Caenorhabditis elegans: one gene and its partners. The protein of the gene in region 1 purifies or fractionates together with the protein of each later gene. This does not show direct contact. Each region holds a gene or a part of one and is shown in the gene's direction. Other genes may lie near its edges.

Evidence for each region.
Region 2: the proteins of mrg-1 (region 1) and hecd-1 purify together in Caenorhabditis elegans (affinity purification with mass spectrometry, with the first as the bait; 2 studies listed by BioGRID). This does not show direct contact.
Region 3: the proteins of mrg-1 (region 1) and set-26 purify together in Caenorhabditis elegans (affinity purification with mass spectrometry, with the first as the bait; 2 studies listed by BioGRID). This does not show direct contact.

The regions. Positions count from the first base shown.
Region 1 is NC_003281.10:12,870,746-12,876,429, reverse strand, and holds mrg-1 (Mortality factor related protein 1), read left to right. Parts: upstream 1-1,775; coding exon 1,776-2,270; intron 2,271-2,329; coding exon 2,330-2,478; intron 2,479-3,398; coding exon 3,399-3,618; intron 3,619-4,762; coding exon 4,763-4,912; 3' UTR 4,913-5,156; downstream 5,157-5,684. Other genes in the region: cec-7 (Chromo domain-containing protein), read left to right, coding at 1-206, 258-563; spcs-2 (Signal peptidase complex subunit 2), read right to left, coding at 803-1,264, 1,319-1,399. UniProt on the Caenorhabditis elegans protein: Protein involved in the remodeling of chromatin thereby regulating various processes including transcription, chromosome synapsis and genome integrity.
Region 2 is NC_003282.8:7,141,701-7,146,628, reverse strand, and holds the start of hecd-1 (E3 ubiquitin-protein ligase), read left to right. Parts: upstream 1-1,909; 5' UTR 1,910-2,017; intron 2,018-2,060; 5' UTR 2,061-2,064; coding exon 2,065-2,422; intron 2,423-2,468; coding exon 2,469-2,713; intron 2,714-2,782; coding exon 2,783-3,274; intron 3,275-3,319; coding exon 3,320-3,484; intron 3,485-3,656; coding exon 3,657-3,807; intron 3,808-3,852; coding exon 3,853-4,511; intron 4,512-4,589; coding exon 4,590-4,928. UniProt on the Caenorhabditis elegans protein: E3 ubiquitin-protein ligase which accepts ubiquitin from an E2 ubiquitin-conjugating enzyme in the form of a thioester and then directly transfers the ubiquitin to targeted substrates.
Region 3 is NC_003282.8:16,652,865-16,657,837, reverse strand, and holds the start of set-26 (Histone-lysine N-methyltransferase set-26), read left to right. Parts: upstream 1-1,954; 5' UTR 1,955-2,004; coding exon 2,005-2,110; intron 2,111-2,161; coding exon 2,162-2,532; intron 2,533-2,619; coding exon 2,620-2,960; intron 2,961-3,854; coding exon 3,855-4,761; intron 4,762-4,973. Other genes in the region: tsr-2 (Pre-rRNA-processing protein TSR2 homolog), read right to left, coding at 635-831, 892-1,219. UniProt on the Caenorhabditis elegans protein: Histone methyltransferase that mediates trimethylation of 'Lys-9' of histone H3 in vitro. Involved in transcriptional regulation. Plays a role in the negative regulation of lifespan and in heat resistance.

The DNA.
Region 1 (5,684 bases):
TAGTCGCATGCACCTACAAGGGAAAAGTATATGACGCGGTCATCACCGACATCAAGCCCGACAAGGATGGAAAGGAGTGCTACTGCATTCACTTCAAAGGATGGAACAATCGTTACGATGAGCAAATTCCAATCGGCGAGGAGACAGACCGTATTTTTAAAGGGATAGCAGATGGTTACCGAGCTCCAGTTGTCACAATGCGCAAGGTACTGCTCAGAGAATATTGAAGCTTTAAATAATAAATTTTGCATTTTCAGTCCGCTAGAAACCATGAAAAATCCACAGAGCCTCAAGCGACGAAAGAGAACGCTCCGCGGCTAGTCGGAAAACGTAGAGAACAATTCATAATCGGTGAGCAAGTCACGTGCACACAGAACGGAAAGCCATATGACGCGTACATCGTTGACATCATAACCGACACTGATGGGAAGGATTTTTACTGCGTTCACTTCAAAGGATGGAACAGCCGTTACGATGAGAAAATTCCAGTCGGCGAGGAGCAGGGTCGATTGTTCAAGGGCTCGGCCGCGAAGTACGCAGAGATGCTCGAGATGAAGAAGTAGATGGGATCTGCTAATAAATTGTTAAATTGCTAAAATTTTGTGTTTGTTAATTGTTCTTTTCAAGCTATTTGTACAATGAATTCTTACCGAAATTGACAAGTTCATATTGTATAAAATGCTGGAAATATTAGCTTTTGACAGACAAGAAACAGGATAGATGGAGAGAGAAAGGGGCACCCATGAAAAGCGAAGAAAAGGGGAAATAAATTAGGCCAAGAAAACCAGATAAATTAAATAAATTATTGTTCGCTACGAATCAAGCGGTTGTACAAGTCGTCGACCTCCTTCTTCACAAGTGGCACGATGATCTCTCCATCGTTATCGATATAAGCTCCGATAGATTTCGTGATTTTTCCCTGTCCAGAGCGTCCTTCCTTCTTAAACTCGGCCGACAGCGTGTACTTATCGTCGTGAGCCTTGATCTCCGAGCTCCACGCCCATTTTCTCGATTGTTTTCCGTCGACTTCGGTGGCCTCGTAGATGCAGTCCTTCTCGACGTACCACTGATACATTTGAAGAATTCCCATGCATATGAAGTAGGAAACCGAGCACACGGCGAGCACGATTTTCGACTTTGGGAACGGCTCGTAGTAGTCGTAGCCGCAGGCGAACGCGGAGAACGCGACGCCGATGAATGAGATGAGAAGACGCAGATTCATTAGATTATGCGATTCCGTCCATCCGACTTTGTCGTTCAGAATCTGAAACGAAAGATTTTAATTTTAATTTTAATTTTGGAGTTTCGGAGAGCAAACCTTTTTGACGACTTCATCAAGGGCATTCTTCACTGTTGGACCGTCCCATTTGTTCACAACTTTCACCGGCTCGTCCGTCATCTGAAAATTAATATATTTGAGAATAAAAATTGAATAGAAATCCAAAAAAACCCAAAAGAAATGAGCAAAAAGCTAGTGGTGACGTCTCAAAATTGGAAGTCTGCATTATTGCGTCGTGGTGTTTGCGTACTTTTTCGTGCGCGGCGCTATTGCATTTGCTTAGAAAACCGCGCCGCAGGGGGGTTTGAATTGCGAAAATGCCGTTGAGCTTTGAGAAAAGCTTTTTTTTTGTTTTTATCGATAAATTTATCGAATTTTCGATATTTTTAATCTATTTTTTGATTAAAAATCGTTCAAATATACATCATTGGCTAGAATTGCTGCTAAAACTCGCTTAAAACACCAATTAATCGATTAATTTCTTTAATTCCTTCAGATGTCTTCAAAGAAGAACTTCGAAGTCGGCGAGAACGTCGCGTGCATCTACAAAGGCAAACCATACGATGCCAAAATTACTGATATCAAAACCAACAGCGATGGCAAGGAACTCTACTGCGTTCACTTCAAGGGCTGGAACAATCGATACGATGAGAAAATCCCAGTCGGCGAGGAGAAAGACCGCATTTTCAAGGGAACAGCCTCGGAGTATGCAGAGAAACACAACGCAGAGCTGCCAACAACTGCATTGAAGCCGAAGAAGAAAAGTCTTGCGGCTGAAGCACCACGAGACGATCGTGATGACACTCCGGGGACGTCGAAGGGAAAAAAGGCGAAATCGGTGACAATTGCGCCGGTTATGACCGCCGACGATATGAAGGTCGAGCTTCCGAAGCCACTGAGAAAGATCCTGATCGATGACTACGATCTTGTCTGCCGTTATTTCATAAACATCGTGCCACACGAGTATTCAGTTGATCAAATCATCGAGGACGTAAGCATAAAAAAAATTAAAATATCATTTTTTCCGATTTTCAAATCCAACATTTTCAGTACATCAAAACCATTCCGGTCAGTAATGAGCAAATGAGAACGGTCGATGATCTGCTCATCGAATACGAGGAAGCTGATATAAAAATCACGAATTTGGCTCTGATTTGCACCGCGCGTGGACTCGTCGACTATTTTAATGTCACTTTGGGGTTGGTTAATTCGAATATGTTAAACAGATGCATGCAAATTGCACGTAGCCCAATGTTTAGTACCACTGCAACTTTTTTCGAACGAGGGACGAGGAAAAGCGGTTTCTAGCCCATGGCCGAGGGGCCGACAAGTTTCAGCGGCCATTTATCTTGCTTTGTTTTCCGCGTGTTTTCTTTAATTTTTCATAGACTTTTCCCGTTTTTTTCTTATTAAAACTAAATAAAAGATAAATAAATATTTTTGCAGATGCCAAAACAATTTCCAAGTGAAAAAATTATGTATTCAGTCGGCAAGTAGCGGTGAAAGTGCTCAATGTTATATGATGGATTACGGGAATACTAAATCTAAACCTTTTCTGAAACATGGTATATATTCTGCTTAGAGACTGAAACTACCCGATTTTCATCATAACGAGACCGCTGAAAAAGATTTGAGATTTTCAAAATTCAACTTTTTGTGCAAAAATCTCAGAACTTTTTGAGCGGTCTCGTTATGAAAATCGAATAGTTTCAGTCTCTAAGCAGAATAAATGCCATGTTTCAGAAAAACGATTAGGTTTAGTATTACCGTAATCCATCATATAACATTGACCACTTTCACCGCTTCTTGCCGACTGAATACACAATTTTTTCACCTGGAAATTGTTTTGGCATCTACAAAAATATTTATTTATCTTTTATTTAGTTTTAATAAGAAAAAACGGAAAATTTTTTTGAAAAACAAAAGAAAACACGCGGAAAACAAAGCAAGATAAATTGCCGCTAAGTCTTGTCGGCCCCTCGGCCATGGCCTAGAAACCGCTTTTCCTCGTCCCTCGTTCGATAAAAGTAGCAGTGAGTACACATAATGCCCTCCGCTTCGTAGAATAGTCGCCCCAATCCCACTTGAAACAGTTACGATGTAAGGATGAATTGTTTAGTTCCAGCTACCAACTGCTCTATAAGTTCGAGCGGCCACAGTACAATGACCTTGTCAAAAAGCGAGCTATGGAGAAGGGAATCGACATCACAAACCCGACCGCCCTGCAGGATAGTGGATTCCGTCCATCTCAAGAGTACGGAATTGTGCATTTCTTGAGAATGCTCGCAAAGCTCCCGGACTACCTGAAGCTCACTCAATGGAATGATCATGTTATTAACGTATGTTCGAAGTTCAACTCCTGGAGCGTCTCCTGAATCTGGTTTCCACACGGAATCTGTTTTTTTTTGGCGAAAAGGTGTAAAATTTGGAAAAATTAGGCCGAAAATTGGATCGAAACCGTCAATTTTCTCGATTTCAGGATCATAAAAAATCCCATTTTGTAGGGAATAAGCAGATTCACAAAACATTGATTTTTAAAATTGAAAAATGGGGAAATTGCCTTGTTTAATTTTAAAAATCAATTTTTTTTTGTGAATCTGCGTTTTCTCCACAAAATTGAATATTTTACGATCCTGAAATCGAAAAACTGACGGTTTCGATCCAGTTTGAGGCCAAATTTCCAAAATTTACATTTTTTCAATGCGTATCATTTTTCTCAACATTAATATAAATAAAAAATAGCAAAAAAAAACGATTTTCCGTGAATTCAGGAGCCCGAAATTGCTTTAAAACACGCCTATGGGACCACAATGACAGAATATCATGATAAAAAATTCAAAAAAATTTTATAAATTTTATATGATTTTTTGAAAATTGGAAAAATCTCAGTTTTCACCTAATTATTTTTGAATTACCGTCAATTGGATTTGTTCGATGGAGCGAGCTTGCATTATTTTCATTAATTAATTTTATTTTTTCTCGTTATTTGACTGGTTTTCTTCATTTTCTATGTTTTTTCCTCGGAAAATGAAAGAAATAAATAGGACAAATGCGAAATGTTTGTTAAAAAGTAATTGAAAATGCGTAAAACTGTGATATTCTGAGTTCCGACAAGCCTGAGATTAGTATATTTCACAGTTTTACTCATTTTCAATTACTTTTTAACAAACATTTCGCATTTGTCCTTTTTAAAAGCATAGAAAATGAAGAAAACCAGCCAAATAACGAGAAAAAATAAAATTAATTAATGAAAATAATGCAAGCGCGCTCCATCGAACAAATCCAATTGACGGTAATTCAAAAATAATTAGGTGAAAACTGAGATTTTTTCAATTTTCGAAAAATCATATAAAATCTAGAAATTTTTTTTTGAATTTTTTTAATCATGATATTCGGTCATTGTGGTACCATAGGCGTGTTTTAAAGCAATTTCCCCACTGAGCGTAGTCCCATGCTCCAAAAATAAAATAAATCAATTTTCAGCGCATCATGATTGGAGTTCACGATTTGATTGTGTTCCTGAATAAGAATCACGGGAAGTACTACAGAGGATCGTCTGATTATCAAGGTGCCTCCAACGACTACTATCGCCGATCTCTCGCCGCCGACGACGGAGTTGGAGCGAATCAATAGACTGATCTCCTTCATCATGTGTTCCATCCCAGACGATCTTCAATACACCGATATAACTTCAATAATTTTATACATTGTTCATTATTTTCCAAAGCTAGCCCCACCATTATGTTTTTGTGAAATCGTGGAGATCCATATTTTGTTCACGTTAATCTCACGTTTTCTGACGACTTCCACATTTCGCATTCCATTATCGTTCAATTTTCCGTTTAGTTGTTTCCCAACTATTCTAATGAATATGATTCTCATTTTCTTTTCAATAGCCCCCCACATTCATATTTTTCCAGATTCTTCTTCTCTTCCAACTCCCCGCCATTTTTAGCCTATCGAGATTTGATATAATGTCTGCGTGCCCCCAAAACTATTCCATCTCGCATTCCACGTGCCAGACTGGAAAGAAGAGGAAGACTGAAGATTTTTTTGAATATTAGAATATACTTTTTTCTTCCGATTTTGAAGTTTCATGATTAAGATGGTTAAATATTGAGAATGCTTATTGAACAACATAACTGACCCGCAAAATATCTCGTAGCGAAAATTCTTGTCGATTTACGGGCTCGATTTTCGAATTGAATTTATTTTTAAATAGTGACAGCGATATTTAATTTTCTTCTATCACTATTCAAACAATTCAAAAATCCGGGTCCGTAAATCGACACTACAGTAGTCATATTACTGTAGTTTTTGCTACAAGATATTTTGCGCGTCGGATATGTTGTTCAATACGCATTCTCAAAAATTACAAGAAGTTGTCTTTTTTTGAAAAGAAATT
Region 2 (4,928 bases), on another chromosome or scaffold:
CGACAACCAGGCACGGGAATGATGGGGGATCCGTTGAAAAAGACGTCTTGGCTCCGGCAAAACTTGTTCTTCAAAAGAACAGTCTTTGACTGATTGATCTTGAGTCCGTAAATTGAGCTTATTCGGTCCAAAATTTCCAGTCGTTCTTGAACTTCTTCCGGTGTGGAGCATATCAGGACTACGTCGTCCGCAAATTCCAGTCTTCTTATGTGTCTGCCTTCCACTTTGATGCCAACTCCCGCGAACTCATTGTCGCAATCCGTCAGAATAGCTTGGAGAGCAGCACTGAAGAGAGCTGGAGAAGCTGAGTCTCCTTGACGAACCCCGGTGCGGAGGTTGACTTTGAGCTTCTTATCGTGCACTGAGATCTCAGCTTGTCCTCCTTCCATCATTTCCTGAATCATCTTGCGCATGGCGGGATCGGCTCCTGCTTTCTCGAGACTGGAAACCACAGCCGAGTGGCCGATTTTGTCGAAAGCCGTCTGGTAGTCAATGAATAGGAGAAGGAGTGGGAGCTGGAATTCGTTGCACTTTTCGATAAGCATGGTGAGGCTTTGAATGTTGTCAGCACAGCATCTCCCTTTTCTAAAGCCGTTTTGACTTTCGTCCAGGTAGCTCTCCAAGGATGGTGTCAGCCTTCTGGTCAGAATGCTCGAGAACATTTTGCTCAGAATGGGGAGGAGCGAGATTGGTCGGAAGTCTTTGATCTTAGTGGCTTTGGCCTTTTTCGGTATCAGTTTGACATCCGATATTTTCCAAAGATCAGGGACCTTGTTGTGTTGGAGGATGTTGTTGAACAGAGCAGTTACTGAGTCCACTACAGTGTCCCCTCCATTTTTGAGCATCGCCGCATCCACCTTGTCGAGACCTGGAGCAGATTTGGTCTTGAGTTTCCTGATCTCCTGACGTACTTCGCACTTGAGAATGGCTGGGACGGGATCAAGACTCGGAGGATTAGGATTTTGTGGTTGACGTGGAGAGTTCGTGGGAGCCTCGTATAGTGATTTGAAGTGAGATTCGACGATTTTTCGGATTTCGATGCGGTTGGCCGTGAGAGATCCGTCAGGCCTTTCGAGATATTGCAAGGGGATTTCGGCAGGGATGGATTTCTTCAATATTTTTGAAGATCTTTTCTTCCGACAAGCTTCAAGAATCGAGTCGTACTTTTGAGTGAGGTCTTCTGTAATCGATCTTCTTGCCTCTTGAGACAATTTACGGAGCTTGGCAATATCTGGAGCGGAGGATTCAAGGACTGATCTCCTCTCTTGCAGAATCATGTTAGTCCTTTGGCTGAATTTTTGCGGTTTGAGGGCTTTTAAGTAACTCATTCTATCGTTAAAAGTCTCTCATTTCTACAAAATTTGTGTCAGGTGAAACATTTATCAAATAGACAAGTATTATACGGTTCGTCGAACGTTTTTGTGACTTTCATCCATCTATAGTTGTTCGCAAGTTAGTTTTTTCCACTCTAGCCGCCTCTCTTCTGCAAAAATCTATGTCACGTTTGCCCCCGAGTTATTTGTGCAAATGCGCCCCAACGACAAAATGTGTATAGTGACGTTCGCACCGCCGTCGTCGATTCCTCCACACCTCTACTCGTTTCTTCCCGCCAGATTTTATGTGATTCGTTGTTCTCTGTTGATTTCTGACTAATCGATAAGATCGAAGCTCTGTGAAAAACGAAAGTTAATATCAAATAATCATAATTAAATAGTGATGTTTTAAGCTCGTTTTTTAAGAAAAAAAAAAGTTTCTAAATTATTGATTTTCAAACGATCCGGAACTTTTTCACACAACACTTTATATTTAGGGACTTTCGTACTATTAAACAGATTTTGAACGCCCGTTTCCTATCGATTTTTTCATTTCGATTATTATTCCAGTCCAATTACACTTGCTCATAAGTTATTTTCAGAAATTGGGTAGAGCCACATTTAACCTTCTTTCGAATTCTTGGGAGAAACATTTTTTATAAGTATATGCTTCAATATTCGCTTCGCTTTTGATTGGGAAAAAGGTAAGTACGAATACACTGTGTATAAATATTTTTTTTTCTTAAGGAAAATGGACGGAATAGATCCGGAAACACTCCTCGAGTGGCTCCAAACGGGTATTGGCGATGAACGGGATCTTCAATTAATGGCTCTTGAACAACTATGCATGCTTCTTCTGATGGCTGACAATATTGATCGATGCTTCGAATCATGCCCACCACGAACATTTATTCCAGCACTATGCAAAATTTTCATCGATGAAACAGCACCTGATAATGTGCTCGAAGTAACTGCTCGCGCAATCACTTATTATCTGGACGTGTCAAATGAATGCACTCGTCGCATCACACAAGTCGACGGAGCCGTGAAGGCTATCTGCACACGTCTTGCCGCTGCAGACATTTCAGATAGATCAAGTAAAGATCTGGGTAAGTGTATTTTTCAGGCTGTCAAAATTATTTTTGAAATTTTCAGCTGAACAATGTGTCAAACTATTGGAACATGTGTGTCAACGTGAAACAATGGCAGTCTATGATGCAGGAGGAATAAATGCAATGCTCACTTTAGTTAGAGTACATGGAACACAAGTTCACAAAGACACGATGCATTCAGCAATGTCAGTAGTGACACGATTATGTGGTAAAATGGAACCAACTGATCCAGAATTGGGAAAATGTGCAGAAAGTCTTGGAGCTCTCCTTGAACATGAAGACCCGAAGGTTTGTATTTTATTTGTTACTAAAATTCCCACATTTTCATTTGCCTCACATAAAATCAGTCTGCTTCAGGTGTCGGAAAGTGCTCTCAGATGTTTCGCCGCGCTTACTGATCGCTTTGTTCGTAAAATGATGGATCCAGCAGAGCTAGCAATGCATAGCAATCTTGTCGAACATTTGATATCAATTATGGTTGCTTCAAACGACGAAAACTCTCCGACCACTGCTTCTGCCAATATTCTCTCAATTGTTCTTTCTTTGATTGGAAATTTGTGCCGAGGTTCCAGCCTTATTACAGAAAAAGTGCTCACATCGCCTAACATGATTACTGGCCTCAAAGCTACTCTTACAAACAAAGAAGAACGAGTGGTAACAGATGGTCTTCGATTTTGTGATCTTCTTTTAGTTCTTCTTTGTGAAGGACGTAGTGCTCTTCCCCTCACTTCAGTAGTATCAGGTGATTATGCAGCAGGTAGTGGAGCTGAACGTGTTCATAGACAATTGATTGACGCCATCAGACAGAAAGATTTGACTGCTTTGGTGGATGCCATCGAAAGTGGACAGGTAACATAGCTATATTTGATCACATAAAAATTTAAAAAAATTAAGGTTGATGTGAATTTTGCTGATGATGTTGGACAATCACTGACTAATTGGGCGTCTGCGTTTGGCTCGATCGAAATGGTACAGTATTTGTGTGATAAGGGGTCCGATGTCAATAAGGGGCACAAGAGCAGTTCTTTGCACTATGCTGCTTGTTTTGGACGGCCGGATGTGAGTTGCGACGCGAATGTCTTTCGTGTGATACGTGCACTCGCTCATTTTTATTACAATACATACTTGCTTCAGTAGGAAAATGTTATGAGCTGTTATTGCACACTCACACGTTAGATAATCATATTGTAGTCGTGACTTGTTTTCCCGGAGTGAGCATTGTTTATCTCAGGTTGTGAAATTGCTGCTTCAGCGTGGCGCCAATCCTGATCTACGAGACGAAGATGGCAAGACAGCTTTGGACAAGGCACGAGAAAGATCTGATGATGATCACAATCAAGTCGCCAACATTCTTGAATCGCCTAGCGCATTCATGAGAAATAGTAAGTCTACATTGTTCTGGTCTTCAACAAATACTTTTCTTTCAGAAGAAGATCCGAAGGTGAAAGCATCAACGTCGAAACAGCCAGGTACTTCAACGAAACCTGAGCTTCCAAATCCAAACCTTGTTCGCAAAGTTTTGCATCAACTTCTTCCAATATTCTGTGAGATATTCCAAAAGTCTCTCAACGGAAGTGTTCGTCGCACATCACTGTCTCTGATGCGAAAAATTGTGGAAAACATTGGAGATCTTCGTCAAAGCGCCGTGGGAGATGGCAATGCTCCAGCTGCACAGTCCGCACGAAAAATGTCTACAGATGTGTCTGCTGGTGCTGAATCTTTGGTAGCTGTTGTCGTTTCTGTAATGGATCAAGAAGATGATCATGAGGGTCACGAACAAGTGCTTCTTATTCTGGAATCTCTTTTGGAAAAAGATGCCGAACTCTGGGTTATTGAATTGGTGCGACTTGGTGTGTTTGAACGTGTCGAGGCGATGGCAAAAGAGCCACCAAAGGGATTGGAGGAAGTTTTGAATGCAATTCATTTGGAGGGAAGATCTAGAGTTACACCCATGGAAATTGACTTTGAGAATCAACCCTCGTCATCAACAGCTGTTCCTACGGCGAACGACATCATGGATACCACTGTTCCATCTTCTTCTGGTGGAGCCGACGCTGAATCAAACTCGAATCCTTCTACAATTGAGGTGTGGTTTTTACAACTTGATAGTTTCCTTTTCTATTTAACAGTTTGAGTAAGAATTTTTCGGAATTTCACTTTTCAGATGGCTGATCCAGAATCATCAACTCCTTCGTCATCCACACAGCAATCTATTTCTAAACCAAAAGCAACAGCCAGTTCAACAGCATCTTCAGCTATTCTTCAAGTGGTATCCAAATTGAGTAGTGTTGCCAGTCTCGATAAATCAGCTGCCGCAGTTGATAAGAAACCAACAAAGACAGTATTGAGCCAGGGAACACCTTATCGTTGGAAAGAATGGCGTATCGTACGCGGAACCACATCTCTATTCATCTGGAGTGATGTCCTGCTCATTGAGTTACCATTCCAATCTAATGGATGGTTCCGTTATTTAGCCGATAATGACTCACATGTACAGTTCGTC
Region 3 (4,973 bases), on another chromosome or scaffold:
TTTCGATTTTTTGAAGCAAAATCATTTTTTTTTCAGAATTCCAGCGCACTTTTCGGGCTTTTTATCAATTCCTGCAGGTTTTTTCGAAGAAAATGAATATTTATAAAATATTTTCGTTGCAAAATAATAATGTGAACTATGTGAGAACTTTCGGCGATTTCTGATCTTTTCTAGTTATTTACCGCCGCCGCCTCCGCCGCGGGGTAACAAAACACGAAAAATAATTAAATTTGTTCGTGCATGCGCGTGCGAATTTTTCTTTGTTATACAAGACAAAATAGTCGAATTCCATGAAAAATGGCGTTTTAGCTTGCCTGGGGGCCTGAAAAATCTGAAAAACTAGTGGTTTTTTTTCCAAAATCCGAGTTTTCCCGAATATTCCACGTGGCAATTTGCATCTGCGTTGAAAAATCGGCTTTCAGGAGATTTCTGGGAGAATTTCCAAAATTCCTCGCTTTTCGTCAAATAAAGCTGCAAAAAACTATGGATTTTTTATGAGAAAGGCACAAAGAAACACAGAAAACAGGGCAAAAACAAGCAAAAACAGGCGGAAAATGAGTAAAATCAACAGGAAAACAAGAATAACGTGATTATTTAGAATTTTCAGATATTTTGAAAAAAAAATCAATAAAGTTTATTGTCTTTTGGTGATTGTCGTCCAGCCATCATCGTCTACAACAACTTGTCGCTGGGGACCACGTGGCTCTGATGGGCCTTCTTCTGATTCCTCTTCGTCCTCTGGAATGTCCATTTCTTCGTCATCTTCGTCGTTTTCAGGTCCGCGCACTGATTCTCGTTTCGCTTTTTCTAATTCTTCGTCGGAAGGGAGTTCTGTAGGAAAAACAGGATTTATTTTTTAAAAAAATTTGCTAAAATAAAAAAAAATCCTACTTGAAAGCAGCTGCTGAATCCCGGCCTCATTCTCGTTTTTAATATAACCGAAGCCTTCTAATAGGAAAAATGCGATTTGATAACTCGAATCGTCGTCCAAAATCAGGTCGAAATCGTGATACAGGATATTTGTGAGCCACTCCTCGAGTTCTTCAGCTTTCAGACCGCGTGTCGTTGTCAATTGCTCGCAGAGCACCTCCAGAAACCACTTGTCCTTCTCGCGGGTCTCATCTCCGCCACACGAGTTGTCCAGTGCCAATTGATAACCGCTCCAAGATTTGAGTGTTCTTCCCGTGAAATTGCGGAGAACGTCGGCATTTATGCTCATATTTACCTGTAAAACACAATATTTACACAATATAAATAGAAAACTGAGGTTTTTTTTTGAAGAAAATACTGTAAAAATGCTCTAAAAATGATTTTATGCAAAAAAAAAATAAAAATCTCACAATTTTCCCACGAGACTACGGTGTGCAAGTCCGCAAACACACCGCTGACAATTGCGTATTTCCCGCCGAGACCGACTTGGCATCATGCCAGAATCGACCGCGACGCGGCGTGTCTGCGTTGCGGTCACTGGATTTCGATTTACGACAGGGCTCGACGTTCAAATTTTGACCGTTTCTCATCGAATTTCCCACCACTTTCTTCTTTTTTTTCGAGTTTTTCAATAATTTTGAGCATTTTTGATGGAATTATCATGTTGGAATTGCTTATTGATGACCAGAAACCTCAGAAATTAGAGAATTCAAATGGTTTTGAATGTTTTGAAAAATCGGCTGGAAAAAAATATTCCGACAGGTTTTTGATCAGTTTTTTGATGTAAAAACCTTAGAAATGATTAGTTTTATAGAAAAAATAGGTAAAATCTGAAGAAACGCGTAATAAAACCATGCTACGATTTTTTCAAACATCTCTCCACAATCATGCGGAAATTATTGATTTTTGATATTTTTCCCTGCGTTTTCTTTGGTTTTTCATGTCTTTTAATTTTTTTCCTGGCGTATTCGATAGTTTTTCTAATTTTATCGATTGTTCTCACCTTAATTTTGTCAATTTTCAGGTTCGTCAAGTATTGCATGCCAGAAAGTCGTCGTCGCTAGACAAGGAAAAATGGCAGACGGTGAGCATACGCTTCCAGCCGACGAGGAGCTCTTCGAGCAACCACCACTACAGCAACAACAACCTGAGATCGCCGAGCCAATTGTTATGGCTCAAGGTAGGATTTTGCTGTGTAATGGCCCGAAATCTAAGTTTAAAAAATTTTCAGAGCCCATTCAAGGAGTCTCAGAGGATCCACAAGCTTCTGAAGCGACACACGAGGCTCCGGACAATTACCCAGTTGACCATCAAATGGAGAATCAGGAATTCTACCAAGAACCGCAAATCCCCGAGCCGCAGCAGATTCCTCAGATTCCAGTCTTTCAACCGGCGGCCTACAATCCGCCAAACTACGTTGCTCCACAGCAGAGAGCGAATAATTTTGGTGAACCAGCAGCAGCAGCAGATTCTCGTCCATTGACAGAAGAAGAACAGTTGGCAGCCGAACGACCGACTGAAGACACAGTTTGGATCGATTCCGATGATGATACTGATGTGGAAGAGGCGATTTTGAGGGCGAACTTCTGGTTGCCGTATAGTGTAAGGGAAAAATCTCGATTTTAGAGGCTATTTTCCAGTTTTAAATCAATATTTGCAATGCAAAACTTAATTTTCTGTATATTTCAGGACCACAACTACGATCCGCCGGATCCCGCGGACCGAATCATTCTCCCGACAGAAGGCCCGTTCCCATGTATCGCCGGCCTGGACGAAGACTGCAACATTGTCAAGCAATGGATGCCCGAAGACGCCGTCGGCCCGGGATCCCCGGGAACACAGTACCGACGAAACCAGCAGACGGGCGGTGGTCTTCCATCAACGTCAGTGGCTCCCCAGCAGCAACAGCTTCCCGTGCGCCATAATATTCAAAATCGGCCGATGGTTGCTGCGCAGCCTTTCTCGATCGGTGGAAATCAAGTGGAGTATGGTGGAATTGGTGGAATGGATTCGAGAATGCAGCAGAGAGGGTATAGAAGGCTTAGAAGTCTGAAAAAGCCCGAAAAGGCCTGAAAAAGGACTACACCCTGTGGGAAAATTGCTTTAAAACACGCCTATGTGGTCAAAATGACCGAATATCTTGATAAAAAAAAATTCAAAAAGATTTTCTAGATTTTAAATGATTTTTTGAGAATTGAAAAAATCTCAGTTTTCCCCTAATTCCTATTTGAATTTCCGCCAATTGGATTTGTTCGTTGGAGCGCGCTTGCACGTTTTTAAATTTATTTTTTAAATTTTTTGTTATTTTCCACCGATTTTTAAAGTTTTCGTTGTATTTTTGCTTGAATTTTAGAGAAAAAGTCAAAATAAATGCAAATTTTCGATTAAAAAACACGATTACAGGAGTAAAAATGAAAAGTAACGCTTTTAAACGACTTCGAGCCTGAATTAATTAATTGCACTGATTTACGCCTGAAATTAGAATGCAATTAGTTAATTCAGGTTCGAAATCGTTTAAAAGCGTTACTTTTTCATTTTTACGCCTGTAAGCGTGCTTTTTAATCGAAAATTTGCATTTATCTTGGCTTTTTCTCTAAAATTCGAGCAAAAGTACACGGAAAACATTAAAAATCGGTGGAAAATAACAAAAATTTTAAAATAAATAAATTTAAAAACGTTCAAGCGCGCTCCAACGAACAAATCCAATTGGCGGAAATTCAAATAGGAATTAGGGGAAAACTGAGATTTTTTCAATTTTCAAAAAAAATCATTTGAAATCTAGAAAATTTCTTTGAATTTTTTATCATGATATTCGGTCATTGTGGTACCATAGGCGTGTTTTAAAGCAATTTCCGCACTGGCGCTACTCCACATTTAAAAGCCCGAAAAAGCCTTTTAAAAACACTAAAAATCTCAATTTTCAGCGTCGTCCGAGATGGTCCGCAATATCGCGTCATGAACGATTTTGGAAATGGTCTACCAATGCGCGGGCAACTTCCACCACGAAACTCGCCGGCCGCCAACGCGATCAACAGAGTTCGAGAGCAACAACAGCAGATGTACCATCAAGCTGGAGCACGTGGAAGCTTACAGCAACGTGTCCCGGCTCCGGCGGCTCCAACACCCGGCTCTTATCAGCATATCGTGAATGCGGTGCCAGTTGGAGGAGCTAATCCGATGCGTCGTGTTCCACCACAAGCTAGACCTGGAATGATTGGAGGAGCGGCGAACAATAATCGTGCTCGTCCGATCCATGTTACTCGTCCGATGGATACCCAAGAGTTTGAGCATCCTGTTGCTCCAGCAGCAGCTGCTCCACCGCGCAGAGTTGTCGACGTGGCTCCTCACAGAATGACTCCGGAGCAACGACAGGAGCTTCAGCAGATGAACCGGCAACGGGCGGCTCCACAATTTCCGGCTGCTGCAGCTCAAAGATCCGCGGAAAAGATTGTGATTCAGCAGAGACCAGGAGCTTCTAGTAGCAGAGCGCCAAGACCATCTATGGCTCAGGAGGACTTGCTCCGCTCACCGACTCGCCGACTTTCGGAACGAGTTCCACAAGAACATCAGACGCCAGTGCTGGAGCCGAGAAGATTCCAGGTTAAGGTGACGGATACCTACTCGACGCCGATTCCGAAGGCTAGTGATCAGCTACCAGCTCAGTTGACAGAAGAGGATCCGCCAGAGGAGTCGGCTGCTGCTGCTGCTCCAGAAGATGTGCCGGATGCTGCTCCAGAAGATCCTCCAAAAGGAATCCTGAAGCCGACGCCGCCGCATCGAATGACTCAGGAGGAGAAGAATGCGCATTTTGCCAGGCTCACTACGGATAAGGTGATTTTTTTGATAGAATAATCGTAAAATAGCGAATTTCGCGGTGAAAATTCGAGAAAAGTGGCCTAATTTTAGCTAAAAATCTCCAATGTTGGACTAAAAACTTGCCGAAAATGGAGATTTTAGCTAGATTAGGCCATTTTTCTCGAATTTTCATCAGTAATTTTGTTCGTTTAAACCTATTTTAAGGTCTATACGCTCAAAAAAAAAAT